Coturnix japonica: one gene and its partners. The protein of the gene in region 3 interacts with the protein of the main gene of each other region in a pairwise test. Links are inferred from orthologs where the notes say so. Each region holds a gene or a part of one and is shown on either strand. Other genes may lie near its edges. The genes, in order: PITX1, PAX6 and IPO13.

What was found.
Region 1: the proteins of IPO13 (region 3) and PITX1 interact in binary tests that used the Homo sapiens proteins (3 or more experiments, as listed by UniProt). The link is inferred for Coturnix japonica from reciprocal best matches to the Homo sapiens genes IPO13 and PITX1.
Region 2: the proteins of IPO13 (region 3) and PAX6 interact in a two-hybrid assay, tested with the Homo sapiens proteins (2 studies listed by BioGRID and IntAct). The link is inferred for Coturnix japonica from reciprocal best matches to the Homo sapiens genes IPO13 and PAX6.

The regions. Positions count from the first base shown.
Region 1 is NC_029528.1:2,530,402-2,539,161, reverse strand, and holds the end of PITX1 (pituitary homeobox 1), read left to right. Parts: intron 1-2,705; coding exon 2,706-2,911; intron 2,912-5,119; coding exon 5,120-5,659; 3' UTR 5,660-5,703; downstream 5,704-8,760. UniProt on the Homo sapiens protein: Sequence-specific transcription factor that binds gene promoters and activates their transcription. May play a role in the development of anterior structures, and in particular, the brain and facies and in specifying the identity or structure of hindlimb.
Region 2 is NC_029520.1:4,645,422-4,655,993, reverse strand, and holds the start of PAX6 (paired box protein Pax-6), read right to left. Parts: upstream 6,129-10,572; 5' UTR 6,049-6,128; intron 5,755-6,048; exon of another isoform or gene 4,542-5,754; intron 2,565-4,541; exon of another isoform or gene 2,296-2,564; 5' UTR 2,154-2,295; intron 1-2,153. UniProt on the Homo sapiens protein: Transcription factor with important functions in the development of the eye, nose, central nervous system and pancreas. Required for the differentiation of pancreatic islet alpha cells.
Region 3 is NC_029523.1:17,977,594-17,988,159, reverse strand, and holds the start of IPO13 (importin-13), read right to left. Parts: upstream 4,885-10,566; 5' UTR 4,804-4,884; coding exon 4,735-4,803; intron 1-4,734. Other genes in the region: ARTN (artemin), read right to left, coding at 5,656-6,092, 6,225-6,402, 6,502-6,582. UniProt on the Homo sapiens protein: Functions in nuclear protein import as nuclear transport receptor. Serves as receptor for nuclear localization signals (NLS) in cargo substrates.

The DNA of each region.
Region 1 (8,760 bases), on a different chromosome or scaffold from region 3:
TCTTCTTTCCCTCCTTCCTCTCTCTTCCCCCTTCTTTCCCCCTCTTCCTCTCTTTTCTTTTTCCTTTCCTTCTTTCCCCTGGCCCCTCTTCTTCCCCTCCCTCTTTCTTCTTCCCACCCTCTCCCTCTTCCCACCCTTCCCCGGCCCTTTCTTCCTTTCCTTCCCTTTCTCTTCTTCCCCTCTCTTTCTTTTACTCTTTCTTTCCTTTCCCCTTTCCCTCTTTCCTTTTCTGTTTCTCTTCTTACTTTTCTTCCCTCCTTTTCTCTTCCTTCTTTCTCTTTCTTTTCTTCTTTTCCTTCTTTTCTTTCTTCTTTTTCTCTTTCTCTCTTCTCTTTCTTCTTCTTTCTTCTTCTTTCTTTCTTTCTTTCTTTCTTAGTTATTGAAGCAGCTATTAATTAATCGCTCTGAAGGGAAGGGTGCTTTTCGAGGAGAGCGCTGTTGGCAGATATTTGTGAATTATGTCAGTTCTGACCGGGTTTATTTTGAAGCTCGGCCGGTGCGACATGGAAAAAGATTTTACTGTCTGGGGAGGGGGGTGGGGGGAAAGAGGGAGAAAATACATGTAAAATAAGAAGTCCCTCGCAGAACGGAGGGAGCGTTGGGATTTGCGCGGGACTGAGCATTTTGCGGAGCTCTCCGCGCCCTGACCTTCGTGTGCGAGGGCTGCAGGGAAAGCTGTGGTTTCCCAGTTCGTATTTTGATTGTGGTAGCAACATTTCCAGGGTGACAAGGGAAGCTGGGAGAGGGAAACAAAAGCTGCAGGAAGGAGCCCGGTGGCCGTTCTGCGTTTCTCGGCAGGAGTTTCTCTCTCGTTTCACTTAATATTATTTTCTTAAATGATGTTGCTGCTCGTGTCGGTGGTAGCAGGTCCCGCCGCTGCAGCACGAGGCAGGGCCGAGCGGCACACGGCGATACGCAGCGCTGCGCTCCGCTCGGCAAACAGTGAGGGACGCCGGCGTCTGGAAGGGACTCCGAGATTAGAGGGGATTATTGGAGATTAGAGAGGGAGATTTGCTCCATTTTACCGTACCCCTCTATGTGACCCCTCGGTGCGGGGCAGGGCTGAAGACCTGCTGCTTTTTTCTTTTCTTTTTTTTTTTTTTTTTTTAATCTACGAGGAGCTACAAAATACCTTTCGCATTTTCTTTCTTTCTTTCTTTTTCTTATTTATTTATTTTTAATGAGGGAAAGGAAAATAATAATAATAATAATAAGGCGCAAATGCCAATTGAACCAAAAGCTCTCCCTGTTTTGAAATGGCACCGAGGCCGATCTAAGGGCCGGGTTTCAGCTGAAATCACGGCGGGGCTGAACGCGGGGCCGCGGCCTCAGCACTTCGCTCCACGCACCCACCCGGGATACCCCGCACAGCCGGCGGGCCCGCGAATGGGGACGGCGGCCCCGGGAGGGCAGTGAGGAAGGGAGGGTTTTGCTCTGTTTGCTCGGTGGTCCAGCGACCGGGGCAGCTCTGGGGCTGCTGCAGGCCTTGTTTGCTCTGCAAACCACTTAACGCCAGGAGAGGCCATCCGAGCTGCGATCGGCCCTTTCACCGCGTTGGGGTCTCCGTAGAAGTTCTCTCTCCCTCCTTTTTATTCCGGAGGGCTCCCAGAGCGAAGGGTGACTTTTCAAGGCCGAGTCCCCCGACCCCCCCCCCCAACCCCGTCAGCCGCACGCAGCCCACGATTCTGTTTAACCTCGCAGGGATTAGGGCTGCAGAAATGCCTCCTCACCGCCTCCGCCTGAGCCTGCGGGAAAGGCGCCCAGCTCAGCCCGGGGGGAGCGGACGGGCTGCGCACCCGCGCAGTTCCCCTTGGGGCAAAGGTGCTCGCATCCCGCAGCGGCGCTGCGCAAAGCCCCGGCCCCCCCCAGACCCCCGTCCCCGGGCCCACATCGAGCTGCTTTCAGGCCTCGCTGTGCCGTTCCGACACGGCCGAACCGGAGTTCGGAAAGAACCGAGGAGTGTGTTCCGAATGGTTCTGTCACCCGCAGCAGCGAGGCCAGGAGGGATTCCCGCATTCCTGTTTCTATAGTGCACAAATCCCGGTCGCCAAAACGCGACTGAGATTTTTGTTGTCTCTGTTGTTTGTGCTTCTTTCGAAAGTAGTTTTTTTTTTCTTTCTTTCTGCAGAGAGCTTTGCTCGGCCCGGGGTTAAAATAAACAGTCAGGTCCTAAAAGCAGCAAAAGAAGGGAAAGGAAAAAAAGAGAGAGAGAGAAAGAAAACAAAACAACAACAACAAAAAGTGGGGGAGTAAAGAGGGAGGGCGACTTTTGCAATTAATTGCTGCGGGTTTTACACCCCTGCCCTTCCAAAGTTTCCTGTCGCGGCCGAACACAACAAAGAAAACGGAGCAAAGATCGCGCCTTAGGTTTAAAGGAGTAAAAGAAAAACTCATGGGCCGCAGTGAGGGCGATGCCGCTGTTATAATCTGCTCCCCTCGATCCTTTTCGCCACTCAGTTCGAGCCATGCGGGTCCCTCGGTCTCCCCGGGCCGGGCCGGGCTGCTCTCGGTGCTGCGGTTTCGGTCCCCGTGGGTACCCCAAGCGCGGCTGCAGTGGGGCGGGCAGGGCCGGGGGTGAGGGGGTGGGGGGGGCTGCCTTTGTGTGCGTCTATTTGGGTGTGAAACAAACAAACAAACAAAAGAAAAAATGTATGAGAAAAAAATATATATATATAAATATGCCCAACCCCAACATCCCACCGTAGAAAAAGAGAGAAGCGGAGAGCAGAAAAACGAGGACGGGGCCGCCGACGACCCGGCAAAGAAGAAGAAGCAGCGGAGACAGCGGACCCACTTCACCAGCCAGCAGCTGCAGGAACTCGAGGCCACTTTCCAGCGGAACCGCTACCCCGACATGAGCATGAGGGAGGAGATCGCCGTGTGGACGAACCTCACCGAGCCCCGAGTCCGGGTAAGCTGGGTGCTGCGGGGCTCTGCTGGTCCGGGGGGAGCTGAGGGAAACGGCCCCTTTTGGGAGAGGGGCCGCGAACAGAGCCCGGCCTCTGTGGGATTGGTTTTGGTTGTTCAGATCGGTGTAGTGAGGTTGGAGAGGAGAAAATCAGCTCCTGGCTGCGGAGGTGAATTAGGGCTGTGCCGGGCCTTAAAAATGGAGCGGTGGGACCGGGCCGAGCCCGGGATGGAGCCGGTTTGTGGGGTGAGACCCCTCGGCTTGATCCAAACCCTCGGGCCCTTCGCATCGCTCCAGTTACCCCCATAATCCTGTTAATAACGAGGACCCCGTCCCCAGTAAACCACCGCTCCGCGGCTCCTCGGGATGGTGGCTCAGCCCTCGGGATCCGCGCGGAGAGGTGCGGAGCTGCCGCGCATCCCCCGCGGGGACAGCGCCGGGGGTGGCTCCGCTGTTCTCGGGACTGCGAGCAAAGCGAAGGACGGGGGCTGGGGGGAGACTGCCCTCCAAAGTCAATAAGCGCTGTGGACACATTCCTGTAAGACGAAGGCGCTGGGTCTTTCCACGGCTCCGAGAAGAGCCGATGCCATCCCGGAGTATATATAGCCTCGGCGGTTATTTAGAGAGAGATTTACGTGCTGCATAGCGCTGCAATGAACAACCAAAGCGGAACGGCTCGGGCCGTATCGATCCGCAGCAGTTTTTCCCACCTCCCCTCGCCTTTTCCTCCCGAGATTTTTCCCCCGCGTGGTTTCGGTACCGCTGAGTCCACACACGGACGGAGCAGAAATCTGGGAGAGAAAAAAAGGGAGTTTGAGAGTCACCCCTCAGCCCCTCAGAGCCCTTTCTGGTAATTAAACTCCAAATGATCCAATCGGATAGCAAACAATTCCGTTTAAAATCTTCCGTGAGTAAACACGCTCTGCATCCGAATGCATTGTACTAATTGCGTTTAAAACAAAACAAAACAAAGCCCGAGAGGAGACCGAACGGCATTAATATTGCTGGAATATTTCAGGAAGCAAATAAAACTAATATACGAGTGGCCATTAACATCATTTCGTTCTCCCTCTGTGTGGAGATGTTTTGGTTTGATGTTCTGAGATTGCAGATTGCAAATCTAACCTTAATTTGCTGTGAGGGCCTTCCTTTAAAATGTCTAGGAGCCATAATTAAAACTATTACCCTCATTTTCAGGAAATTCCTGTCTGGAAGCACCTTCCGAGGAGTATATTACAGGTTTTGAAAACGTTGCCTTTCGTTTCCTCTTCGTATTTAATACTGGATTCTTTTTATTATTGTTATTTTTTCAATTGACTCCGCCATCCCTTCTTCCCTCGCAGTTTTTTCCATCCCTATGAGCGCTGGTGTAAGAACGTTGCGCCATCGCTGAGCGGGGAGGGGAGGGCAGGGGCGCTGCGAGGAGCGCAGCCTCCGCGGGGCTGAGCGCAGTGAGGAGGGGGCGGCGGAGGAGGCTGGAAACGGAGCGCGGTGCTGCCGGGTTTAACCCGGGGATAGAATTTGGGAGCCGGGCGGCCCCTTCCTGCCCCGGCTCATGGATCCCATCGCGGGGGGCTCAAAGCCTTTCCAAAAAGAAAAGAAAAAGTAAATAAAATAGGAGAGAGCCTGGATCGGTTTTTTGCATCAAACACCAGGAGCGGCCCCTGCTCCTCTGTTCCCCAGTCAGGGCTGTAAATTCTCATTAGATATAAAGGCAGAGGCTGCATCCATCCAAGGGCCATGCAGGGACTGATTTTTTTTATTTTTTTTTTTTTTAAACCTAAACATACTAATCCAATCCCCTTTTTTATGATCTGTAACAGGGGACTTTTATTACACAGCATTAGCATTCGGAAACACGGCGGAGCCGGGGCGAGCCGGCCCTAATCAGAGCTGGCCGTGCCTTCTCCCCATGGCGAGGGGAGAGGGGCGGAGGGGGATGCGGACACCCGAGCAGCCCCGCTCGCAGATGCCGCTGAATATCGGCTGCGAGCGGAGATGCGCGGACAGGGAGCAGAGGGGCAGGGATCGATGGGACCGGGAGAGGTGGGACTGGGAGCGACTGGGGCCGTGCCCGAGCGTGGGGAGGTGGGGGACTGAGGGGGTGAGGGGGTGTCGGGAGCGTCTGAGCGCTACTTGCGCGCCTCTGCGCGGCCGGGAGCGCATCGTGCGCGGCGGGGCAGCTCTGACCGTGGCCTGTCCCTCCCTCAGGTTTGGTTCAAGAACCGCCGAGCCAAGTGGAGAAAGCGGGAGCGGAACCAGCAGATGGACCTGTGCAAGAACGGCTACGTGCCGCAGTTCAGCGGGCTGATGCAGCCCTACGACGACATGTACGCCGGGTACCCCTACAACAACTGGGCCACCAAAAGCCTCACCCCGGCGCCGCTCTCCACCAAGAGCTTCACCTTCTTCAACTCCATGAGCCCCCTCTCCTCGCAGTCCATGTTCTCGGCTCCCAGCAGCATCTCCTCCATGAACATGCCCTCCGGGATGGGCCACTCGGCCGTGCCGGGCATGGCCAACTCCGGCCTCAACAACATCAACAACATCAGCGGCTCCTCGCTCAACTCGGCCATGTCGTCACCCGCTTGTCCCTATGGGCCGCCGGGCTCTCCCTACAGCGTGTACCGGGACACTTGTAACTCGAGCTTGGCCAGCCTGAGACTCAAAGCCAAGCAGCACTCCAGCTTTGGTTACGCCAGTGTGCAGAGCCCCGGCTCCAGCCTAAACGCCTGTCAGTACAACAGTTGACGGACTTGACACGAACCACCTCCGACGAACAGCGCCGACAAAGCAAAACAAAAAAAAAAAACAAAACAAGAAAAAAAAACAAAAAAAAAAAAACAAAAAAAAGAAGAAAAAAATACAAAATAAAGCAGAAACAAAGCGACGTTAAACGGAAATGAATATATATATATATATGTGTGTGTGTGTGTGTATGTAGGAACCCGATGATGTGTAAAAGCAAAACCCGAGCAAGTGAGAGAGGGAAAGAAACAGCACAAAAAGGGGGGGGGGGGGGGGAGGGAAGGCAAAATCATAATGATAATAACGATGATAATAAAACAAAACCCGAAAGCTCTGCGGACTTCGATTGTCTAAAAAACCACCACCAACAAAAATGAGAATAAATAAGAATAAATAAATAGAAAAAGAGATCCGACGACACAACCAACAAAAGCAGCGCTTTAAAAACGAATAAGCCAATAGTAACCATTAAAAAAGCAAACCACCAAAATAATAATAATTAAAAATAATAATTAAAAAAATAATAATTAAAAAAAAAAAAGGGAAACGGACCAGAAAACTTTTTGCAAGAGACACCGAAATCTGGTACATGGATGAGTTGCAATTTTTCTCTGGATGATGCGGGTTGTATGTGTTTACTTGAACTTGCACAGGAGGTGGTAAGGCGGCCGCTCCCCGCGGCACAGCGGCCATTGGGGGCGGCCCGGGGGGAGCGCTGGGGGCGGCGGCGGCCGCGGGCGCACGAGGGTGGGGTATGGGGGGGAGGTAGGGGGGAGGATGGGGGGAGTTCGGGTGATGTTTACCACTGAGAAACGGAATCGCAGTCCAAAAAAGGGGGATGGGGGGAGGGGGAACAAAAAGGAAAAGAAATAACAAAAAGAAAAAAAATTAAAAAGATTTTTAAAAAATAAATTTAAAAAAAAATAAAAGAAAAAAGGGAGGGGAGAAAAAAAAAAAGATATAATTCGCAGAGTCGGTTCTGCGGGGGGAAATGGTTAAAATATTAGGTATAATAATGACAAGGGTCAACCACTTATATAAGGTTATATTTATATCTGCCGTTACGTTGTGCCGGCTCATTGTCCTTGGCCGTTGAATAAACTGTTTTTAAAATGCATGATTCTTGATGTTTTTTTCTTTAGTTGGAAGCTATAATCCAGTCATTCCCGATCCTAAGCAGCTCCAGGTTCCTACCTCTTCGTCCTTTCCAAACGACTGCAGTATCCCCGGGCGTGAGAGCGCAGACACCCTCCAGCGATGCGAAAACTCTCCAGCGTTTTCCCCATCCAAAACTCTTATCCTGATAATGAAATTATCACCCGTCTTTATTTAATCGCAGGGTTCCAGTCTTCTTTTATTATTATTTTTTTTTTCTCTTAAAATAATAATAATAAAGAACTTTAAGAGAATCTAAAGGAAAAAAGGCCAAAAATGGTCTGTTATGAAGCGAATCCAGATACTGCATCTCTGCTTGAGAACGGTGAGCTTCGGAGTCCGGAAGGGTTGCATGGCAAAGCCGAAAGCGTTCCTCGCTTTTCTAACAGTGAAAGGAAAACCAAGGAACCAAAAAACAACCCCAAAAGAGAAATCTTAAGGTGTTCTTATCTTAAGGAGTTCTTATGTAAATGTAGATAACTTTAACAAGTGCTTGTTGGCGAAAAAAGAAAGAAAAAAAAGGGGAAAAAAAAGGAACTGATAAATATGATCTTTATTAACACGCATACCAAACGCATATGAAGTTTAATTGCAGGCATATTTGTTGCTTCTCTTTTTGTTGTCGGTACTTCTTATTACCTGTAGATGACAAAGAAACGTAATATAAAATGCACACGGTACTTCTTTCCCAGTGTATTTCACACCTGTGGTAACGTTACGCTGGATGTTTCAGTTATGCTGTTGTGGATACGGATGCGGTATATATATTGTTTTATAAGTTATGTTTTGTGATTTTATTATTATTAAGTCCTTTTTTTTTTTCCTTCCAAAATTAAGAGCATGGGAATAATAATATTAATAATAATAATAATAATAAACAAACAAACAAACAAAAAAACCAAAAACGGTGAAACGAAATGTAGAAATGCCTTTAATGTTGTTTTCTGGGGTTTGAGACATGGACTGCTTGAAAGCAAAGGAGATTTCCTCCACCCCCCCTCCCCCCCTCCCTGCCCAGTGGTGGTATTTCGGGGGGGTCCCTCCGCTTCCTCCCGTAACTCCGCCGTCCCCACGACCCCCATCCCCGCCCCCGGCCCCGGGGAGGGCACACAGCCCTGCGGCCCCCGGGTGCAGCCCGGCCAGAGCCCCCCCCCCCAGCTTTACGGCGTCCTATCGCCGCTGCTCCGGTGGGGCAGTGGATGCCGCGTGGATTTCTGCTCCTCCGCTATAATAACCCCGAGCTCTGGGAGAGGTTCGTTTTTCCCCCCTCAAAAGAGTCAATCCTCGTCCTGAGAGGAACCCCCCCTCCGTGTAGCACAGCCCCGGGGCCCATCGATCCCTCTGAACCGTTCCTTCCGTTTTACTAAGGTGTTTTTCTCCCATATTTCTCGGATTTCCCAGATATTCTCAATTTAAGGTTTATTCGATGCCTTTCTTTTTTCTTCCCCCCAGCACCCCCCTTCGAACCCAAGTTGCCCCAAGCCCCACTCGCTGATATCACACCCGTTGTCGTTCCGATGAGATTTTGCCGAAAACGCCATCATTTCGCCAAAACGATCCGAGAATTCCTCTGTCCCAAAGCCGCTCCTGGTGCAGGGAGATGTGAGCTGCAGCCTGGCCCTGCCGAGCCCCGCGGGGTCCTCTGGCATCAGAGGGACACTGGGGGGACACTGAGCCCCGGCCCGAGCCCCTGGGTCTTCCTGAGCCCTCAGAGCCCCGGAGTTGGGGAGGCGGAGGGTTGGGGGGGAGGGCACCGGGCGGGGAGCTCACATTGTCCGTTATTGTAGCTGCACGAGCACGCACATCAGGTCAGGAAAATTCCTGCTTTTCCCGTCCTCTTTCCTGGGGGGGTTTATCTGAAAGCCCTCCGCTGTTATTTCAGCCTGGATTGGCTGCGTTGGTTTTTCTCCTGTTCCTGGAGGCAGCACCGTTAGCCCTAAATCAGGGCA
Region 2 (10,572 bases), on a different chromosome or scaffold from region 3:
AGCTTCTTCTTTTCTTTTTCTCTCTTTCTAATTGGTTTTGTTATTATTTTTTTTTGTTTTCCCTTCTCCCCGTTTCTTTATCTCTTATTTATTTTATTTTATTTTGCTTGTGATTTTGTTATTGGTTTGCTTTTTTCCTCCCCCTCCTTCCCTTCATCTGCACCCCCATCACTTATCTATTTATTTATTTATTTACATATCCCCCCCCCTCCCCCCTCCCGTCCCTCCCCCCCGAGTATTTATTTATCCGAACGCGGCGCGGGGGAGAATGGAGCAGTGATTTCTTCTCGTTATAAATATCGGCGGTAATTGTGTTACTGGTGCGCGTTGTTCGGGGCTGTAAAAAGATACAACAGCGCAGTGGGGCGCTCAATTGGGGAGGGACAATTACAATAAAGAGCCCATTCACGGGGGTAGCTAAAAAAAAAAAAAAAAAAAAAAAAAAAAAAGTGAGAGAGAGAGAGAAAGAAAAAAAAAAGGGGAAAAAAAAAAAGGAGCTAAAATAATGAAATAGTCGCAGCCTTCGTTTTCTCTCCATTTTTTGGTTTTCTTTGCTTTGCTTTGGTTTATTTCCAAGCCTACAAATACCCATTCCTTTTCTTTTGCACCTATAATAAACATCAATTTTGCTCTTCCCGCGTGCGACGGGATTCACTCAGGACGAGCCACGCTGCTATTGATATAGAGAGCCTTTTAGGAACCTGAAATCCTCAAGAAGAAGCCCCGAACGAGCGCTCCTCGCAGCGCGCTGACGTTCCCTAGTAAATATTTACGGCGCCGCTGGCACCAGCACCCGGCGCTGGGAAAGAAGGGCAGAAAACAGCCGTCCGAATCCGGAGGTGCCCACACCGCCGCCGCAGCCCGAGCTCCGTGCGGGAGGCTGCCGGGGCACCGGGCACAACTCAGCCCCGCGGCAGAGCCCGGACTTGGGAGCCCCGCGGCGGTGCGGAGCGGTGAGGGGCCGTGCGGGCCCCAACTCCGCAGGCTGGGCCCCGTTCGCAGCTCGGGCTTCAGGCCCAGATCCGGTGACGTTCCGGAATATTTCCCCCCCCCACGCCCCCCCTCCCTCTGCAGAAACGCAACGAGGGGTGAGGGTGACAAACTTTCCCTTTCTCGAGGCGAAGGAGTAAAAGCTCAAAACGAATCGCCGTGCGATGGGGCGCCAGGAAAGGTCAGCGGCTGTAAACATTTATGGGCGAAGGCCCTTTGATTATTTTATGTCCTCGGGACGGGGCCGCCGCCGCTCTCTGCCCCGCGCAGCACCTGCCCGTGCGGGCGGCCTACGAAACTTTATCCCAACTTTCCCGAAGTGACCGCGGTGTGACACCTCCGGGCGGGTGAGAGCCAGACCTGCGTTTTCTGATGGCACTTTGAGAGGGGAAAAGAACCCGAGGGGGAAAGGACCAACTTTGTTGCTTGCGCGGAGAAGTTTGCGACTTCCTTACAAAATAATGATAAAAAGAAAAAGAAAGGGGGAAAAAAAAAGAAGAAGAAGAAGGAGAAGGAGAAGGGAAAAGTAAAAAGAAAAAGGCTTTGGAGCAGAGGGGGATCCCAGGCCCGATATCGTGGGGGTCACGAGCAGAACCGAAGCAGATCCCGTACGGCGCAGCAGCAGCCGGAGCGGAGCGGAGCTGGGCCCGGAGGAGCCGGGGAGGCTCGGGAAGAGCCCGGGGTGGCGAGAAGTGTTCTTGGCCCTTCGATCACGCTCAGCCCCGCTCGGTCCCGGCCGCCTAGGCCTACGCGGTGCTTCTCCCCGTCTTCTTTCCCCCCGGAGTCCCGAGCCCCGTCTTCCTGCTGCCGAGCCCCTGCCTCAGCGGCGTCCCAGCCCCGGCCGAGCCCCGCGGCACAAAGCAGCCCCCTGGGCACCGCCGCTGCCGCCCGCCCTCTCCGTCTCGTCCGGAGCCGCACAGGGCCCGCACGGCCCAGCACGGCCCCGCATGGCCCGGCGGTGCCACTGGATGCGGCTCCGCTGGCCGCAAGATCCCAATGCGGCTCGTCCAGAGGGCACCGCGAGAGAGCAGAAAGTTTGCGAGCTGCGGGCCGGAAAGTTCCCCGGGAGCTTCGCGGAATGCAAATGGGATGGAGAGGGGGAGCGAGGGGAGCGGAGCCCAGCGTGGGGCTGCGGAGCGGTGCGGGGAGCGACGCGGACTCACCTCGCAGAGGCATATCCCGTCCGCGGCACCGCTGCTGTCAGCAGGACGGGGCGCACCGCCGGGCACTGACGTGCTCCCAAAGTGTCGCCCTCAAAATAGTTTGTCTCCACTGAGGCTGCGGCGGCGGTGCGATGCCGAGGTCCTGGGAAGGAGACAGAGATTGACACCGCGGTGGCTGTCAGCGCGGAGCGGGCGCGGTGTGCGGCGGAGCGGGGCCGGAGCACACCTCTCTGATTGGCGGCCCCGCGCTAATGGATGCGGCCGCTCCTGCCTCGCCTCCACCGCTCTTCACTGGCCCATTAGCACAGCCTGACCTCTGTCATCATCTTCCAGCAAAACACTTCCTCCCTGCGCCTTAACCAGAGCGGGAAATGAGGCCGGGCCGGGGCTCGCTTTTCAAACCCACTAATCATTCCGCACATGCAAATGCTCCGTTCGCTCCCACACAAAATATTGCTTTATGCAAAGCGACGCCATCGCCTCCCCGCCGCCGATTGGCCGCCCCGCGCCCGGCACGGCTCAATTGGCGCAGCCGTTTGCATATGAATACGATGGGCCCGGCTCCCGGCCCCGGCTCCGCACCCGCGGCCCGGCCCCGCCGCCCCCCGCGATGCGATGCGCACGGCGGAGCGGTGCTGAGCGGCGGAGGGAGCGGCGCGTTCCCAGGTGGGGTCGGGTCGGGGCTGGCGGGGGGCAGAGAGCGACGGGAGAGAGGGGGCACAGCGCGGGGGAAGGGGGGGCGGGCGCTGCGCGGAACGGGGCATCTCGCCCCCCAGGGCTCGGCCGCACTCAGCTCGTGGAGGGCTCTCGAGAGGGCCTGGAGGGCCCTTCGGATCAGCGCCCCACGTGCCGAGGGCTGCGGGGAACCCCGCCCCCTCCTCGCCCCGCAGGTGTAGGGCCCCGAGGACGAGGAGACAGAGGGGACGGGAGCGGGGAGTCCCCCGATGCGGGGCGGAACGGCGGTGGGAAGACGGAGAGGGGCCGGGGATTCCGGGAGGCACCGGGCGGAGGGAGGGAGGGACGGACGCGCGGAGCATGAAATGAAGTCGTAGCCGCATACACTTGACTTCTCTTGACATGTGAAAAGTGCTAAAAGTCAAAGCTCATCAATAAAGTATCTTGAAACTGAATAAGAGCGCTGACAACCATTGCATTCTTAAATAAAGTACAATGAGGAGACAAACGACTCTGCCAAGGAGTTTGCATGTGAGTGAAAGGGCGCTCAATGGGAGCGGGATAATGGGCCGCGGCCGCAGGCACTGCCCGCCCCGCGCCGCCGGAGCTGCCTGGGAGCGGGAGGGGGCAGAGAGGGGGGGGACCCGACCGCAGCTCCCCGCATCACTGTGCGGAGCGAGAGAGGAACCACCGCAAAGCGACCCCCGGGTGCCGCCCCCTTCCCGGGGACACTCAGCCCCGGGGGGAGTTCGGGAGCGGGGCTGGGAGCTGCCCCGGGGGGAAGTCAGCCGTGTCCACGGGCCTCGCTTTTGTCACTTCGCTTTCTTGCTCTTTTATCTTTTTTCTTCTCTTTCTTCCCCCCCTCCCAACCCCCGGATAGTTTCTTCCCGCAGCAATCTCCACCAACCGAGCAAGTTTGGGGTTTGCTCTCGCTTCTTCGCTCCCTTCCGCAGAGTTAAAGGGAGAAGAAGAAAGGCGTGCAGCTCCTCCGAGCGCTCCCCACACCCGTCCCGGTGCCGCGCTGCTGCTGCCCCCCCCCACCCGCTCTGCGTCCTTTGTGTCCCCTCCGTCCCAAAAAACTTTCACCACCACCCCCGGCCCCCCCTGTGCCAAAGAGGGGAGGGAGGAGGGAGGGGGAACGCCGCTGACGTCACGGCGGTGCGTGTCGGGGGGCGAAGAAAGCCGAAAGTTGAAGGAAAGAAAGAGCTGCGGTGCGGGGCCCTGTCCGTGTCCGACCCGCGCTGCCACCCGGTTCGGCCCGGCCCTTCCCGGCCCCGCCGCCATTTTTCTCGTCCCGTGGCCGTGGCAGCCCCGCAACGGGACCCCCCCGCAACGGGAGGAGCCGCCCCGGGGCCGGGACGCGGTGTCCTCGGGCGGGGCTGCGGGAGGGGAGGGGGAGCGCCGTGCCCGGAGCCCTCCGCACTAAACGCCCGCTTGCTCCTGTGATGATTTTTCTTTGACTTTTCTCTCTCACCCAGCAGCCTCCTCCCCGCTGCCGGTCCCTCCGAGAAGGCGAAGCCCTCCGGCACAGCTCTGCCTGCGGCTGCCTGCTTTATTCCTACCTCCTCTCTCTTGTTCCTGCAAAGCCTCCGGCCCCCGCAGCCCCGCACGAGACCGGCACCTCCCGCACTCGGCCGTGCCTCCACTTTCCCCTATTGTTTTTAGAACATCATTCAAACAAACAAAAAAAAAGGGGGGGAGGGGGGGAGAGGGAGGAAGGAGAGCAGGGAGAAAAATAGGTTTTATATGTGTGTGTGTATGTATATATATGCACATATATATAATATACACACACACATATATGAAAGTAAGCAACCACTATACGTGGTCAGATTTTTTTTTTTTTGTCTGTGTTTTCTTTAATTGCTGCCCCTAATTAATGTAACGTCCCTCTCTCCACGCTTCTCTTCATCTCCCCCCCACCCGAGCGCTCTCTCTGTGCCGCACAGCGGTCCCCTCTCGCCGCACTCTGTCGGGCGCTGAGCACAGCTCTACACACCCCGTATCGTCTCCTCGGATTAATGTCCGGGCTGCGAAGTACCTTTTTTAATACCCAGAAAAATGCTTAAAGTCCCCTTGTCCAGTCCGGTCTGAGAGCGAAGAGATACACCAGCCCTGACGGCTCCGACTACGCTGCTTTTGCCTCCGGGACACCGCGTGCCTATTCGGATCTGTGCTGACAGCGGGTGAGACCCGCAGAGCGCAGAGTTACACGGGGCTCTCCGAGCTGGTAACCAAACTTTGGCACCGCTTCGTGCGGATGGAGCACCGCACCGGCGGGATAAGGCCGAGTGGAGCGGCTCTTTAAATGCCGTTGTCTGGGACGAGCAGCAGCCGAGCTCCGTTCTCCAGCGCAGAGCGGGTTTGATTACAGACCGAGAGAGGGGAGGCTTATGATCCCGCACCTCGGGACCCTCAAAGCCTTTCCCCAATGCACTTCCAACGGCCGAGCTGTCCGGGGCCGCCCGTGAGCTCCGCACACCGCCCAGCACCGGGCCGCTCTACCCCGCGTACGGCGCCGGCAGCGGCTGTCGCTCCCTCTGCCCGGCCCTCGGCACGTCGCGCTCGGAAACAAGTTGAAATCGCGGCGTTCCCCGTCTGGGAAGCCCGAAAGTTGGGTTAAAGGGATGTAATGGTCGCAAACGTCCTCCCTCGGCCGAACCCCACGCCCGATCCCGTATCTCTCAGTGCCGCCGCGCCATACGTCAGCGGGATGCGCATATAAAAGCGGCTCTGGTCAGAGGTAATTATGTCACAGCTTTCTCCCGGCGTGACAGCTGGATAAACACCGTCCCCATAAACATCTCTAATTAGGGAGGAGGATCTCACAGAGATGCTGTTTGATTTATTGCTGCCGGAGAATGTCCATTTACCGCGATATCGCCGCTCAGCAGCGGCGAGGAGCGCCCGAGGACGCCTCGCACAGGTAAGCGGGTCTGCGGGCTCTCCGCCGGCCCTTTGTTCGCCGCTATTTCGGGGTCACAACGCCCTTCGGCGGTTCTCCCCTCCCTCCCGCTCCGCGACACCCGTTCCGAACCCCCGACGGCGGCGCGGAGCCCTCCCGCAGCCCGCACGGTCCCGCGGCCCTGAGCTGCTGCCCCCGACGGCGCGGCAGCCGCTCCCCACCTGTTGGGCCGCGAGCTGCCCGCGGAGCGCGCTCGTCCCCGGGCCCCGACGGGGCGGGGGCGACGGTGGGGTGGGGGTACCGAGGGGCCGTTACCTGTCCGGCGGCGCGGCGGCCCGAGGAGGCACCTGGCGGCTCCGCTCGGCGATTCCTACGCCGGAACCTGCCACACAGTTTAAATGTCAATGACAATAAAAGAGGGGTGCTGCCTTTGCACTAACTTTCCCTTAATATCCACGCCAGCGCCTCCCCCATTGGCTGGGCCGCCCCGGTGACGTCACGGCGGACAGTACTTAGCTAATGAGACATTTTAGGCGACACGAGCCCGGCCGCCGCCCGCCCCGACGGCACTGACGGCACGGCCCCCGCCCGGGGCCAAGCTGCCGGGATCGCCCCCGCCCCCCCCCTACCCCGGACCGGCTGCCCCTCACCCCGTCCGACGGGGCCTCCTGGGTTACCCCTCGTCCCCGACGGCTCTACCCCGCCCCGCTCTGCTTCGTCCCGGGCCCACGTTTAGGGCTGTGGCAGCCGTGCCCGGCCCCGACGTGGGTCCCCGCCCGCAGAGAGGGGCTACGACCGGCGCTCACGTGTCAGAGGGTAACGAACGTACGGGCACAGAGGCACCCCCCCCCCCGGCCTGCTGCTCTGTGGGACTGTACTCGGTGTTAACGGAGCTGCCGATGAGCCGGGGGGGCTGCGAGGCCCGTCCCGCCGCCCCCCCTCGAGGTACGGCCCCGCGGGGTGACCCCGGTCCCGGGCTGCGGCCGTGAGGCGCGTTCGGAGCCGCTGCCACGAAGGGGCCGAGGACCCCGCGACCCGGCGGGGCCCTCGAGGGAGGGGAGAGACGGGATCGCCGAGGCTCCAGCCCGTTTATCCGCCTGTCAGCAGCGGGAGACGGCTCCCGCAGCAGGGCCAGGTGCTGCCGCCCCGCGCCGTGCCGCTCTCCAGAAGCTGCCGAGGCGTAAAGCGGAGTGCCGAACACGGTGCCCTCGCAGCACCGCCGAGCTCTGTTTGCGCTTTTATCTCCTCGGAAAAATCCGAGCAGAGCGGAGTGGTGCGAGAGGAGGAGGAAGAGAGCGGGCCGCGTGTGCCTGAGGAGCGCCGTAGAGGCCGCAGGAAAATAATAATAATAAAAATAATAAAAATAAATAGGATAAGGGAGGGGGGAAGCTGCAAAGCGATGCTCCCGAAGCACGCGGGGCAGCCTGAGCGCTGCGCCCCATTGCCCCGCGTGGGGTGTCCCTGGTGTGCCCGTGTTTGGGCGATGGGCGCGAGGACCCCCGTGCCCCCTCCGGGTGTTGCTCCGTTGAGCGTTGCACGCTGATAAACTCTGTACGTCTTCGATTTCCACCGCGACGAGGAGTTGCTCTTTCTTTTAATCCCCTTCCCGAGGTGCCCCGAAGCCCCGAGCTCGCAGGGATGGGGCGATCCGCGGCACGCGGTGTAATAATGAGCGTTAATTCTCTACCCAAGCAGAACTTGAGCAATAATAATAAGCACATCAGAACCGCTTGTTTACTGCGGCGATGTGCGGGCTGCGGGGCCGGGACCGCTGCGGGAAACGGTGTAACCTGAAGGAAACCCTCTAGAACGGGGGAATATGGCAGTGGAAGGGCTGCTGCGCCTCGCGAGGAGGGAGCTCGGTGAGCGCTTGGCTGGGACGTGCGCCCGTGCGTAAGGTACGTGGTCTACAGTACTTCGGTTTTATCCCCCCTCACGTTTATTTCGTAGTCTGATAGAATTTTCTCCGTCTGACATCCGCCTTTCGCCCCAGGACCGCGCTCAGCCCCGCTGCGGCGACTCGGATTTGAGCCGCTTTCGCCTCGTTCTTTGCCGTCCCGACGGAGCCCGACAGCCCCGCAACCTCGAACAAAACCCGCGGGGTCGGCACCGAAAGGCCTTTTAGTGCCGCGCTTCGGGTCCCGCCGGGCGGGGCTGAGCCCGGTGTGCGGAGTCCGGGGCGGCTGCGGGACCGCTGCGGGCAGAGGCGCGTCCCGAGGACGTGCTCTAATCCAAAGGAAGCTTCGCTTCGAAAAAGAAACGCAGCCGTAAATCAGCTCTTTGCGCTTCGTGGCTGAGCGTTATCTCCGCGTTGTTTTGGGTTTGTTTTTTTTTTTTCCCTCTCGAGGACTCTTAATGGTATTAATTTGGCCAAAAAAACTTGAGCTCGGGCTGTCTGGAATGATCTCCCTTCTCCCTCCTCCCGAACATTTCCATAATAACCGCGACTCGGGACCCCGCTCGGGCCGTGCGCCTCCCTCGCCCCGCGCAGCCCCGACGCGGGCTGCATTCCCCGGGGGTGATGGGATGCAATCCGCCGAGAGCCGACAGGCACGTCCTGGATGTTAGGGACGCACCGCTCCTCAACGTGACAAGGCTGAGTTCGATCTACAATTGTATTTGAAAGGGCAATGAGCGGAAAGATCTCCCGTCATTAAAGCCTCCCTCTCCGCTCGCGCAATAACGAGACCCTTCATTTGCACACAAACGCTCGGGAAAAGAGCCGTAAAGTCCCGCACCGGCCCGACCGCGCCGCGGAGCGCCCGCGGGGAGGGGGCGGCGGTGCGGAGGTCCCAACGCGCCCATGTGACCGCGGTGACTTTTTACTTTAAATCTTGAATAAGACGTGAGTTGTAACAAGGGGATTTGCACTTACTCCGTGACCCCTGTAATTGGATTAAATATAGACCGAGACGTACAAAAACAGAGCGAGATTGACACCTGCCAACTGGACTTCCTTATGATTGATCGTGATGCTTCGTGCCGGCAACAATAATGAAATAAATTGTATGGATAAAGGCGCGCATTTGTCATTTCCGCGCGGGGCGAGGGGAAGGCAGTGCGAGGCGAGCTGCTCGCTGACAGACGGAGCGGGGCGCCGAGCTGCAGCGCCGTGCGCGGACCCCAGACGTTGACGAGACAAATTATAACTTGTCACAACCTCTTAAAATTCAGAACTTTTCAATTAACACACAGATTGCCGCCGAGCTGCGCGGCTGTGCCCCTGCACCGCGGCCGCGGGGATCACACGCAGCCTCCGCGCCTCCTGCGCTGGGGGGGTCTCTCTGTGCTGCCTCCGTCGGCGGCCGGTCCGGGCTCGGGCTGGTGCTGGGTCCCGATGGCCGTCGGGCAGCTCTTCCCCCCCGTGCTGGGCGGACGTGTGCGGGTTGGGACGGGCCGGACCCCGCCGGGAGCATCGTCGTGTCCCGGGCTTGGGGCAGCTCCCGGCCCGACCCCAAACTCTGCTCCGTGCCCTGCCCCGAGCGCTGCCCTGAGCTGGTTGTGCCCCGGGGACACTGCAGTCCCACCCGTGGGGCATTTCCTCCGTAGATATTGGTTTTTCTTTTTTCTTTTCTTTTCTTTTCTTTTCTTTTCTTTTCTTTTCTTTTCTTTTCTTTTCTTTTCTTTTCTTTTCTTTTCTTTTCTTTTCTTTTCTCTTTTTCTTTTTCTTTTTCTTTTCTTTTCTTTCTTTTCTTTTCTTTTCTTCTCTTTTCTTTTCTTCTACTTCTCTTCTCTTCTTTACTCTTCTTTTTTCTTTTTTTCTCTTCTTTAACTCTTCTTTTTTCTTTTTTTCTCTTCTTTTACTCTTCTTTTCTTTTTTCTCTTTCTTTATTTCTCTTCTCTCTCCTCTCCTCTCCTCTCCTCTCTCCCTCTCCTCTCCTCTCCTCTCCTCTCCTTCCTCCTCTCCTCTCCTCTCCTCTCCTCTCCTCTCCTCTCCTCTCCTCTCCTCTCCTCTCCTCTCCTCTCCTCTCCTCTCCTCTCCTCTTCTCTCTTCTTCCCATGTTCTTTATTTATCTACCTATTTGTTTATTTTATTTTCTTCTTCTTCATCATCCTTTTTCCCCCTTTTTAAATTCTTCTTGATATTCCGAACTGGTTTCTGCTGGGCCCACGATCCCAAACGCGGAGTTGCGGCCCCACGGCTGCGGCCGGGCAGAGGCACAGGCAGAGCCGATCCGCCGAACCCCGCATCCCAACTTGGGGAAAATCCCCTCCTCCGGCGCCGCGACCTTTCCGTGCGCTGTAATTACCGCCGAACTCGTTCCTCTAAATTAAATGCTGCTGTGATTTGAATCCGTGTAAAGCACGAAGCGAGTTCCATCGAATGAGCCGAGCCCGCCCGCTTTCCCCAGTGGCTGCATCCATTAACATTATAATCTCAAACACCATTTTTTATGTAACACCATTGTTAGTAAATCAACTCCTCAGGTCCACAGAGACGCTGACCCCTGGCAATTCAGCGAAAGTGTAATTATCTCCCCGAATCTCGGGCAGATTTAGGAGATTACATCGCAACTAACTCCATATCAATGCTAATGCCCCGGCTCCAGGTGCCGCTCGGCGCGGTGCGGCCCCGCTCGGCGGCACAAAGCGCAGCGCCCCGGCCGGGAGGGACGGGGTGCCCCCAAATTGCACCTATTTGTACCACAAAACCTGGTCCGCGGATGGCAAAGTGAAACAAAGCGGCCATGCTAAATTAGCGTTAAATAAAGGGCACTTTAATGCTCGGTTACAGTCAACTGGTGTATATTTGATGGCTAATTGTCTATCAAAATTAAAGAGAAAAGAACAAATGATTCGTTATAAGAAGGTGTTAAAAGCTCCGACAAAGGCGCGTTT
Region 3 (10,566 bases):
GGTGGCCAGGTCCTCCCCACCCCTCTTCTCCCCGCCTCCATCAGCACAAGCAGCTGTAGCGCTGCTGCTGAAGTTTCAGTCTGTCGGGTTTTATGCAGCCCTGGAAAACCACAGTCACTAAGCTCAGGGATTAATCTCTGCTCCAGGTCCCTTTGAAGTGCTCCCAAGCCCGCCCAGCTACAGCTGAGCCAGGAGCTGGCATCAAACCCTACGGCTGCCACCTGGGATGGTCTGGAGCTGCTCACCCAGCTTCCCTGCGTGGAAGAGAACAGCACTTACCAGTGAGAGATCTAGTTATGGCCTTGCAGAGCCCACTGATCCACACACACAGCCCTACATCAGCCACAAGGCTTTATTTGCAGAGAGCTCCATCTTCTAGCAGCGAGCTCTCCTGCTCAGCACAGCACAGCTTAATTCAAATCACTGACTGCATGCCCCAGGAGCAGGGATGGCACTCATCAGGATAGCATGCACCTGCTGGAAGCCAGGGCGTGAGCCCAGCAGGTGGAGAGGATTTTTGATAGCCCCATCCTGGCTCCAGATCTCAAATATCCACCACCTCCCCCCTTGAAAGCTCTGTGAAATTCTTGTGTGGTTCTTGTACCCAGGAGAGAATTTAAGCCCTATTTTTAAGCATGCAAAGCTGGCAGCCTAGGGCACAAGAACACGCTTCCTAAGCGAGCGGTTGTACCTCATGCTGCTTCCCAGCACAAGAGCACAGAGCATGACAAAATGGCAGGAGCGCTGCAGAAAGGGACACTGTGTGAAACATCTCTTCTTAAGACTGGGAGGGGGAAAATGAGGATAACCTCTTTATGAGAAAGCAGAAGGTTATGAAACAGGCTGGAGGACGAGGCCAGCCACTGGCAGCAGTGCCCCCCATCACAGCAACAACTCACCTCATTACCAAGCAGGAGCTGCAAACATTCTAAAAGTTCAGCTGCTTCTGGGGCTGGGAACCTGGCCCCCATCTGCACATAAGCCAGTGTCCTGCTCCCCCGCTGCAGCCTGAGTCATCCTGCAGCAGGGCTCCAGCTCCCAACCATCTCCTCCTCGCACTGCCTTTGTCTTATTTGCTTTGTCAAAGCTTGCTTCCCAGCAACCTCACCTGAGACTCACAGAGGCATTACATTAGGAGGTGCAACCTGCAGCCATGCCTCATGGACCTCCAACTCAGCACGAGGCTTGCAAAGCATGCAACATGTTAATTACTCAGACTATGAAGACTCATGCTGCAAGCTGCTGGAGGGCAGAAGAATATTCTGGAAGAACATCCCTGCTGGCTTCCTCATTTCCTCCTCTTGTCCCCGAGCATCCTGACACACAGGAGGTGGTGTGGTGGCTCTCACCTGGGTGGCCTCCAGCTTAGGATGCCCCCCTGTACATTCTGTGGGGCTCTGCATAGCACAAGGAAGCCCTCAGAGGATCCTCAAGGATGGGCTTTAACACTATAACCATGCTCTGCAGGAGGCATCTGAACATGCAGCATGCTCATCCCTAGCAAAAAAAGGCAGAGACCTTCTGCAGCAGCTTTTGGCACCAGCTGCTGCTTGACTTGCACTCCAGACATCACTGTGCCAGCCAGCACTCAAGCCCATAAGGAAGCGCTGAAGATGACGAAGGGAACTCAGTGCCAGGAGAGAGAAGCAGAAGGCATGAAATTGGGCAGCGACAGCTAATGGGAAGGCTTTGTGCATTCTGATTTAGAAGCGTGGCTGACACCAGACCTGCCTCCTCTGCAATTAAACCTGTAACATGAGACCCAGTAAACAGTCAGGCTGTCAGCTCTGCCCTTTGCCCAGGGAATGAGCTTTCTCCAACACCATCTCTGCCTGGCTGAAAATAATTCAAGCTTGTTATTATGGGCCCTCCCTGCTCTAAAAAGCAGTGGTCAGAGCCCTGCTGGGCTCCAACTGCCAGAGTGGTGTCAGCCACCCAAGGAACTCATCCATGGTGTCACAGCTCCCACTTGGTCCCTCTGGGAGGCACGATGGGGAGCAGCCTGAGCATCGCTCCTGCCAAGCACACACAATGGACATCAGCTCACACCATGGCACCAGCAAGGAACAGGAGCTGCAGCAGCTGCTCTGAGCCCAGCACCAGTGTAAGCCAAAGCAAAGAACAGACACAACACTTTGCCCCATGAGTTCAGAGCGCCAAATGAAAAGAGGCCCTGTCAGTTTGCCCAGCAGAGAGGTGCCATCAGCACCATGTGCAGGGTGCCAGGAGCACCATACACCCAGTGTGCTGCCTGCTGCTTCCCAGCAGAGACACTGCATCTCCAGAGGCCGATTTGCTGTCAGCAGAGGTAACCAGGCAAGGAAAACAGCCCATATAAACGCTCTGTGCCCAGCACCCGGGGCAGTAGCATCCCTCTTTAGCCTCCTCCAGCCGCGGTGCTTCCCCATGCAGCCTCTTGCCTTGCTTTCCAGCCGTGCACTTGTTCCAGGCCTGCAGCAGCACAGCCATTACTCTGCCACTGCTGAGCGCAGGGAACGTCAGCCCGCCTCCCCCCGCACAACCACCATCCTCCCCCCAAAATGGCAGGAGAGCCTGAGCAGAAAGCAGCCGCCTGCTGAAGCATGGAGGAGAACAGATAGGAAATAAAGCTGTTGTGTGTTCCGCCCTCCCAAAAAACATGCTGCTGCTTCACCCCCAGCCTGACAGCAGAGGTGATGCTGCAGCCCCACAGCAGTCTGGGCTGCCCTCCTGCTGCTTAGCTACAGGTATCTCCTTGCAGAGAGCCGTGTGGTCCTCAGCCCAGATTGAGACATGGCAGCCCCGAGCTCACCCTGCTCTGTGCAACACCCCAGGGCAGCTGCCACCCCCAGCAGCAGCGGGGCCTTGAGGTTACACGAGTAATCAGCATTTTGAAAGGGACACAGAATGCAGAGTCCGGGTTGAGCTGCGAGGATGGACCCTGTTCATCACCTCTTAGCAATTCTTGTTGCCCCAGGAACCAGCTCAGAAGCACTTAGAGATGCTGCCAGCTCCTGTGCCACCCCTGCACTGCAAGTCACAGGCGACCAGGAGCCCTGTGATGGTGAAGCACAACACAGCAGAGCAATAGACAGCACAATGTGCCTCTGTCTGCCCAACATCATGGCACAGGAAGGAGCAAGGTGTTCAGCCAGGGTTGGTTCTGGGGGGAACCTACTGTCTGCAGCAAAGATCTGCTTTCACAGCCAACAGGATGAGTCCTTTCTTCCTTCAATCTTACAGGAATGTTCCTGTTCTGCCCCTAACATCCTCACAGGCACCGCTGCCCCATCAGCCTCAGCATCTCCCAGGGGCAGCCACAAGAGCCATCCCGAGGGCTGTGACACCAGGCCCACATCACTGCCTGTCCATGCCAGAATGCCACACACCACAGGGACCTGAAGATGCTCTGATTCCTGCCACGGGAGCTCCCCCACTCCTCGCTCTGCTCCCACCCCAGAGCTCATCACAGTGCCTGACTCAGCACCGAGCCAAACCCCGACTTCAATCACTATTCAGTGATATTAATAGAGCCATGCACAAAACCTGAGAGGCAGAGAAGCCCAGGCCAGCGGAACATCATTTATTTGTCAGTACCAACTCTGACAACACAGCTCTGCCCACCACCCTCCCACCAGCCCAGCCCCCAGCGAGAGCCCAGCTCTGTACAAGAATACCCCACCTGAAATGATACAGGGAGGGCTCCGTGATGCTCAGCCTCTGGGCTCCTCCTGCTCCCACCCTGCATTTCTCCCTCTCCATCTCCATGGCCAACAGCTGCATCTCCTGTAGATGTCAAGGCGACGGCAAAGCTGCGGCTGTGAGGGCTCATGGAGGGGGATGGGAGCAGAGCAGAGCATCCTAGAGGGCAGATCTGCCCGCTCCCATGCCTGGCTGCCCCCGGGCACTGCTCACCCTCCCGTGCCAGTGCAGACAAAGGCACAGTCGCTGCCTGCTGAAGCATAGGGAGGTCGGAGGCAAAAAGATCCCGCAGCCCTGCCCGCATGCGGATTAAGCCACAGAAGGTAGCGTTATTGTGGCGTTTTGCACACAAGGGCTAATCCTTGGGGGCGAGCTCTGTGTCGCTAGCATGGGGATGAGGGCTGTGACACCTGCAGCCACAAAGGGAACCGGCACCCGGCACCGGTGTGACACATCCCCAGGCCAGAAGCGATGGGGCCAGCCCCTGTGATGCTCTCACCGCCGTGAGCTTTGGCAGGGAGCTCCGTCCCCAAACAGGCAAAACGAGGGCTCTGGGATTTGCCTCGCACTGCCCAGGATCCTGCAGAGAGTCGAGGCGTTGGGAGCCCATAAGCTGGGGAGCTTTGGGGGGCTGTGCTGCTCACTGCGTGCCCTTCACCGCTACGCCCGCAGCCTCCATCACCCCCAGCATCGCTCACATGAAGCCGTTCCTCCCGGGGAGCCCTGCTCGGTCCCCAGCCAGATTCAGGTTCCCAGCAGCGGCTCGATGCCTCCTCCCGCATCTCCAGTCTCAGCGGCCCCGGTCTCTTCGGGAGCACCGCAAACACAGCGGGGCTGCACGGAGCGGCTCCGAGAGCTCTCCCCCACCAACCCAAGGATGCTCGGGATGCACAGCCCTGCCTCCCGCTCCCATTTCTGCCTCATCATCTCCCTCCCGCGGGCAGCGGGCACGGCTCGCACCGCCCCACCGCGGCCACACCGCGACGGGAGACCGACATCGGTGACGGCGTAACCGTGCGGCGCCCGATCCGCCTCCCCCGGCCCCGCTCTCACCTTCTCCACGTTCTCCACGGTGAAGTCGAGGCCCTGCGGCGGCGGCGGCGCCTCCGCCCTCCGCTCCATGGCTGCGGCAGCGGGCGCAGGGCAGCAGCGCTCCCCGCCTCCGTCCGTCCGTCCGCCCCGTCCCACCGCTCCGCCCCGCTCCGCAGCCCGGCCCCGCCGCACCGCACGCCGGGAGCGGTAGTCCCGGCCCCGCGCCCCGCCCCGCCGGGAGATACGTACAGCCCGGAGCTGCGGGGTCGGCCGTGCGGCCCATCGCTTTATTGCTACAGGAAAAGGCGGCTGTACAAAAATAGAGTTTATCCTCCCGTTATTTTCCTTCTTTTTTTTTTTTTTTATATAACAAATAATAGAAAAAAAACCAAAACAAAAAAAAAAAACCACGCTGCGGGCACGAGGAGCCCGAGGCCGGGGCTTCGCATCAGCGCTGGGGTTGCATGACACCCGGCCCCGCGGGCCCAAAGTCATAAATAGGAGCTGCCGCTCGAGAACAATAAATAAATAACTTAGAGCAATAAATAGTTGAGTGCCGCAGCGCCGCGGGGACCCTCGGAGCCGGGCAGGGACCCGGGGCTGGGGCTGAGCGTCGCCCCATTCTGCTGCACGTTGGCCCCTGTCCTCGGGGAGCCCCCCCGGGTGCTCCCTCCTGCCCCGCTCACGATGCTCGCGGGGATGTGGGGTCAGCAGTCCGGCACAGGGATGCCCCATCCCCTCCATCTCTCCCAGGTGGGGGCGCACCCCCCGGCTCTGCTTGGCACTGAGCGGAGGGGCTCGGTTTCAGAACCACCCCCGTCCGCCGCAACCGTGTCACCTCGGTCCCTCGTGGCCGTGTCACACCGGGACCACCCTCCTGCCTCCCTCCAGGCTGGGGATCGGCAGAGTGCATCGAGCCGAGGCCGAGCCGGCAGCTCCCCATCAACCGATGCAGCTGCACTCGGCCGCCGAGAGCTTCTCCACCGTCTGCCACGTGTTCTGCACATCCATGAAGGACACGGCCTCGTAGCGAGTGGGCCGGCAGCAGGGGTGGCTGAGCACGCGTTCCTGCGGCCCCGGCACGATGAGCTGCTGCCGCAACAGGCTGCCCAACGTCAGGTCGTAGTTGCTGCGTGCCCGGTGGCACGACCCGCTGCAGTACTTGAACAGCACGATCTCGTCCGAGTTGAAGCCCAGCCCCAGGTCGCGCACCTTCACCATCAGGTTGCGGATGTGGCAGTTGCGCCCTCGGGCACCACGCGAAGGTTTCCGTTGTCCCTTCTTGGCTTTGCCGGTGCCCGTCGGTGAGCGCTCGGCTCGCAGCAGCAGGTCCTCCGCCAGCTCCGTGCCACCTGGGGCTCCCGTCGTCACGTTGTCACCTGTGGGTCAGTGGGACAGCACTGTCAGCTCCTGCCCTCCCAGCACCACCGAGCTCCCCATCCCCTACAGTGACCACCTGTGCCCAGGATGGATGTGCTACCAAACCCCAGGGTGGCGGTACCAACACGCACCGTGCAGCTGGCTCCAGGCGAGAGGCACCTCCACGCCGTCCTCCACACTGGCAGTGGCCATGCCCCGTGGTGTGGGGGCTGCATCCAGCGTCTCGTTGCAGTGTGGGGTCCGCACGGTGCCGGCCACCAGCCCGGCCAGCAGCGACAGGATGGCGAGGACCCCCCAGAGCATCCCCTCCTGCAACACAGCAGAGCACGGTGGGGTGAGCGCCGGTCGCGGAGATGGAGATGGGAATGGGGGATCCTGACCATCATGGGCAGCCAGGCATGGGCTCACCTTGGGCTGTGGATGCGTGCTGAGTCCTGCAGGTCTTGGCTTTGGTGGTCCTGCTTGCTGCTCCATGCTGGCTGCAAGCATAGGGTGTGTGTCAGTGCTTGTGCAATGGGAATTGTGCAGCCCAGCAGCTGGCACACCATTGTCCCACCAAGCAGTTCATCCCCTCTCTCATCTCCCAGCGCCCCACCGTGCATCCCATCCCCATTGACTACACACCCACACCCCCCGTGCACCCCTCCCTGGGGATGCTGGCAGAAGGGCCTTTGCCCAGCACCTCTCCTTGGGAGGACGCAGGCCGGCTCTTCACACGAGCAGCCCAGGATGCCAGGCTGTGTTATAAGGCAGTGGCTGGGAGTGCCACAGAGTGGGGGCCCTTTTCCCATGGCTCTTCCCTGGGAATGTTTTTCTTCCTGGCAGTGGGAGCCTGACCTCAGGAGCTCCAAATCCATTAGCACAGGGTCCCCTGGTGCAGCCACCCCCGAGCCCCACACTGCCTGCCCACCATGCTGCCTGGAAGCTGAGGCACACAGCCCCGAACAGTGCGGCTGAAGGGTGGGACGGGTGTTTCCCATGGGGACACAGCACATCAGCACACTGCTCTCTCCAAGACCATTCCACCCCAGTGCTCCCACCCGCCGCCTGCTGACCCAGCCACACAGGGACAGGGCTGTCCCCTTGGAGCTCGGTGGCATCCTGCAGCAGGGACTTCCCCTTGGCTTTCTCCCCAGTGCTCCGTGGTGGAGAAGCATTGAGATGGGACATGCTGCAGAGAGCGTTGCTGGCCTAATGATGGGTGGAAGCAGCCAGGGTGCTGCCGGGGTGAGGAGACAAACTCCCCCCAGCCCTTGAGGAGATGCTCACCAGCCCCGAGGCCCTGTTGCTGCATGGGTGGCACTGAGCCATGCCATGCCGAGGGGCTGCCATGGGCACTGCCAGGCCCTCCAGCCCACTCTGGGGTCCGAGCACCGGGCTGGGCTGGCAGCAGGCCCCTGCCGTATCCCCATCCTGGCCAAGCACGACCCACGCAGCACGTTGCTCCCATGGCGTCCCGTGGCCCCGTGCCAGCCACTGCTGCCAGGTCATGGTTTTCCCAGGCCGGCACCCCCAGAGGGGCCATTCGAGGGTCCCGTGGCCCCGTCGGGCGGAACCTGGGCCCCCCGTCCCTGTCCTGCCGCCCCGCCGCGGCCCCTCAGCCCAAGCAGCACATCGGCACGGGACGGGGGCCCTCGCAGGCGGCGGGCCCGGAGCCAGGAGGTGACACAGCCGTGGGGCCCACGGTGCGGGGTTGCCGTCCCTTCGGCCCCGGCCCGGCCCGGGCACCGCCCGCCCCCTGGGAGCCGCGCACCGCCGGTGGTGGAACGCGCTCCGCCGCCCCGGTCCGAGCGAGAGCATCTGCCCCGGGAGAGGGAACGGGAGTGCGGCGGAGCCGGGCTGCAGTACAGGCTTCTCCCATCCGGCGGCAGCACGGCCCCGGAATCCAACGAGTGCAGCGGGAGGGAGAAGGTCGATCCCCGCGGCGAACCGCGTTTGCTCCGCACTCTCGTGGGGAGAACAGGCAGGGCTCAGCCGGGCTCCTGGGCACCGCAAGGGAATGGCAGCCCCGCAGCCCCGGCCGTCTGACAGCGGTGCGAGTGGGAGCAGCCCCAGGCACGGCTGGAAGAGCCCCGGCCGCTGATGGGCTCCGCAGCTCTTCCCAGGTCGGCATCAGAGCGATCCAAGCGAGGATGCACCCTCGCTCGGTTCAGCTTGCCCCCTCCGCCCCCCCAACACGCGTCCCACCCCCGGGGCTGCGCACCTCTCGCCGCTCACGCCGGGGAGCCCAGAGCTGAGAGCGAGTGTCCCGGCATCCCGGGGGCTGCTCGGGGCCGTGCATAACGCCGTGTCTCCTGGCCGTGCCCTGACACCTCCTCGGGCACCTGCGGGCACCACCGCGCTGTCCAGAGCAGGACTACGCGAGGGGTCTCCCGCAGATGACTCGAGGCTGGCACCTGTCCGCGGTACCGGGGGAGGCCGGGGCCGGACACGTGTGACCACGAACCGAGTGGAAGCGGACCCTCCGACCCGCGGGCAGCGCCGGGCCCCGCGTCCCGGTGCTCCCACCGGCACTACGGGACGCGCGGTCACTGCGGGAGCTGCCCCGCTCAGTCCCCGCACGCCGGTACCGGCTGAGCCCGTGTTGCCCGACGTGCCCAGCGGGCTGTGCCCGGCCCCGTGCCCCGGGCACTCGCAGCGGGGTCCCGGCCTCTCCCCGGCCCGGACGCGGAGCCCCGTTCCCCGCCGCGGCTGCCGAGCGCCTCCGGCCGCGCGGCTCGGATCGGGCAGTCCCGGGAGCCGTCCGGCCGGGATCTGCCCCGAGGTCCGGGCCCCCTCTCGCCTCTCCGCGGGTTTTGCCGGTCGGGGCGGGCGCGCGCCGAGCGGCTCCCTCCCTTTCCCCCCCCCCCGCCCGGTGATTCCCGTAGCGCCGCTTAGCGCAGGCCTGCGGACGACGCTGCGGCCGCCCCCCCGGGCGCCGCACTCACGTGCCCGCGGCGGGGGACCATCCCCCGGGCCGCCGCCGCCCCGCATCGCCTCCGCTCCCCGCCGCCCCCCCCGCTCGCCGCCGCCGCGCCGGGGCGGGGCGCGGGCGGGGGCCGGCGCTGCCCCGCCGACACCGGCACGGACTCCGTCCGCCGCTCGCCGTGCCGCTCCCGCTGCGCCTCGGGGGTCGCGGCGCGGGTCCCGCTGCGCCTGGCGGTGCGGTGCCGGGCCCGGCGGGCGGGCGCTCAGTGCGGGGTAGCGGCGGCTCCATCCCGCTCCCTCCGCAGCCGCCGGTGTCAAATTCCAGCGGCCGTCACCTGACCGGCGGGGCGGGCACCGGCACCGCGCCCCGAGCGGCACCAGGACCCCGACCCGCGACGGACGAGACCCCGCCGATAGCAGGAGCCGCACCCCGCGTCGGTACCGGGATCCACACCGGCCCCCGAGCTCGGAGGGAGATTCGCACCGCACCGGCGGCGGCACCGGGACCCGCTCGGGACTACCGGGCAGACGGAGCCCCGCAGGACGGACCGGCGGACGGCTGCCCCGACAGCGCGTTGCCAGCGGCACGGACGGAGCCCGGGGACAGAACTCAGCCCATCCCCGGGCGCTGCGGGAGGTGGGGACCGAGCCCCGCGCGTGGGGTGGCGGCGGCCCCACGGCGTCGGGGGGAGACCCACGGAGCGCCCTCACTGTCAGCAGCCCCGCGGGGACCCCTCGCACTCGGGGACCCGTCGGGAGGGGCGGCCCGTGGGTTCCGGAGGAGGCAAACGGGAACCGTCCCTACGGCGCGTCCCACGCACCCGAGCCACCTCGGGCCACCGTGTGCCTCGCGTGCGCGTCCGGAGGAGGAGTCCGCCCGGCCGCGGGCCCTTACCTCCGCCCGCTCCCTGCCTCCCTCCGCCGGGGCCGCCGCAGGCCCGGGGGACATGGGGGCCGGCTGGCGAGCCGAGCCGAGCCCGTGCGAGTCCTTACGTCACCGCCCAGGGCCCTCCACGTCCATCCCGGGCTCTCGAGTGCTCCTTGCGAACGTGCCAAATCCCAGGGCCGCCTCCGCTCGTCCGCTCGGCCCCGCTTCACGTGTGCTCCCCGGGACGGAGCGGGCCGACGGGACGCAGCCCGGCCCCGGAGCCGTCTGCTCGGATTATCCAGCGTGGGGATGAAGGCTCCGCTCCCTCCTGCGGCATCACCTGTCGGGCAGTGTGAAGGCTGAGCTGCCCCTGCTGCTGGCAGACACGCGACACGGAGGTGCTGTCCCCAACATGTGGAGGGGGTTTCTGCCATCTCTTAGCAGGTTTGGGGGTACAGGAGCATCTCTGTGGGACAGGGAATGGGTTGCTCTGCTTTGCAGGGATGGAGAGCGGAGCAGTGAGGATGACCACTTGAAAACGGTGCTCACGAGTGACATACTGTGCCCTGGGGTGCCTGGCTGTGTCTGTAGGGCAAGAGCTGTGTCCACACTGGGGAGATGCCCACAAGATGGGCATAGCACAGAGGGTTGCCCAGTGGACCTGTATAGTGCCTATGGTGTCCCTTGTAACAGGATGG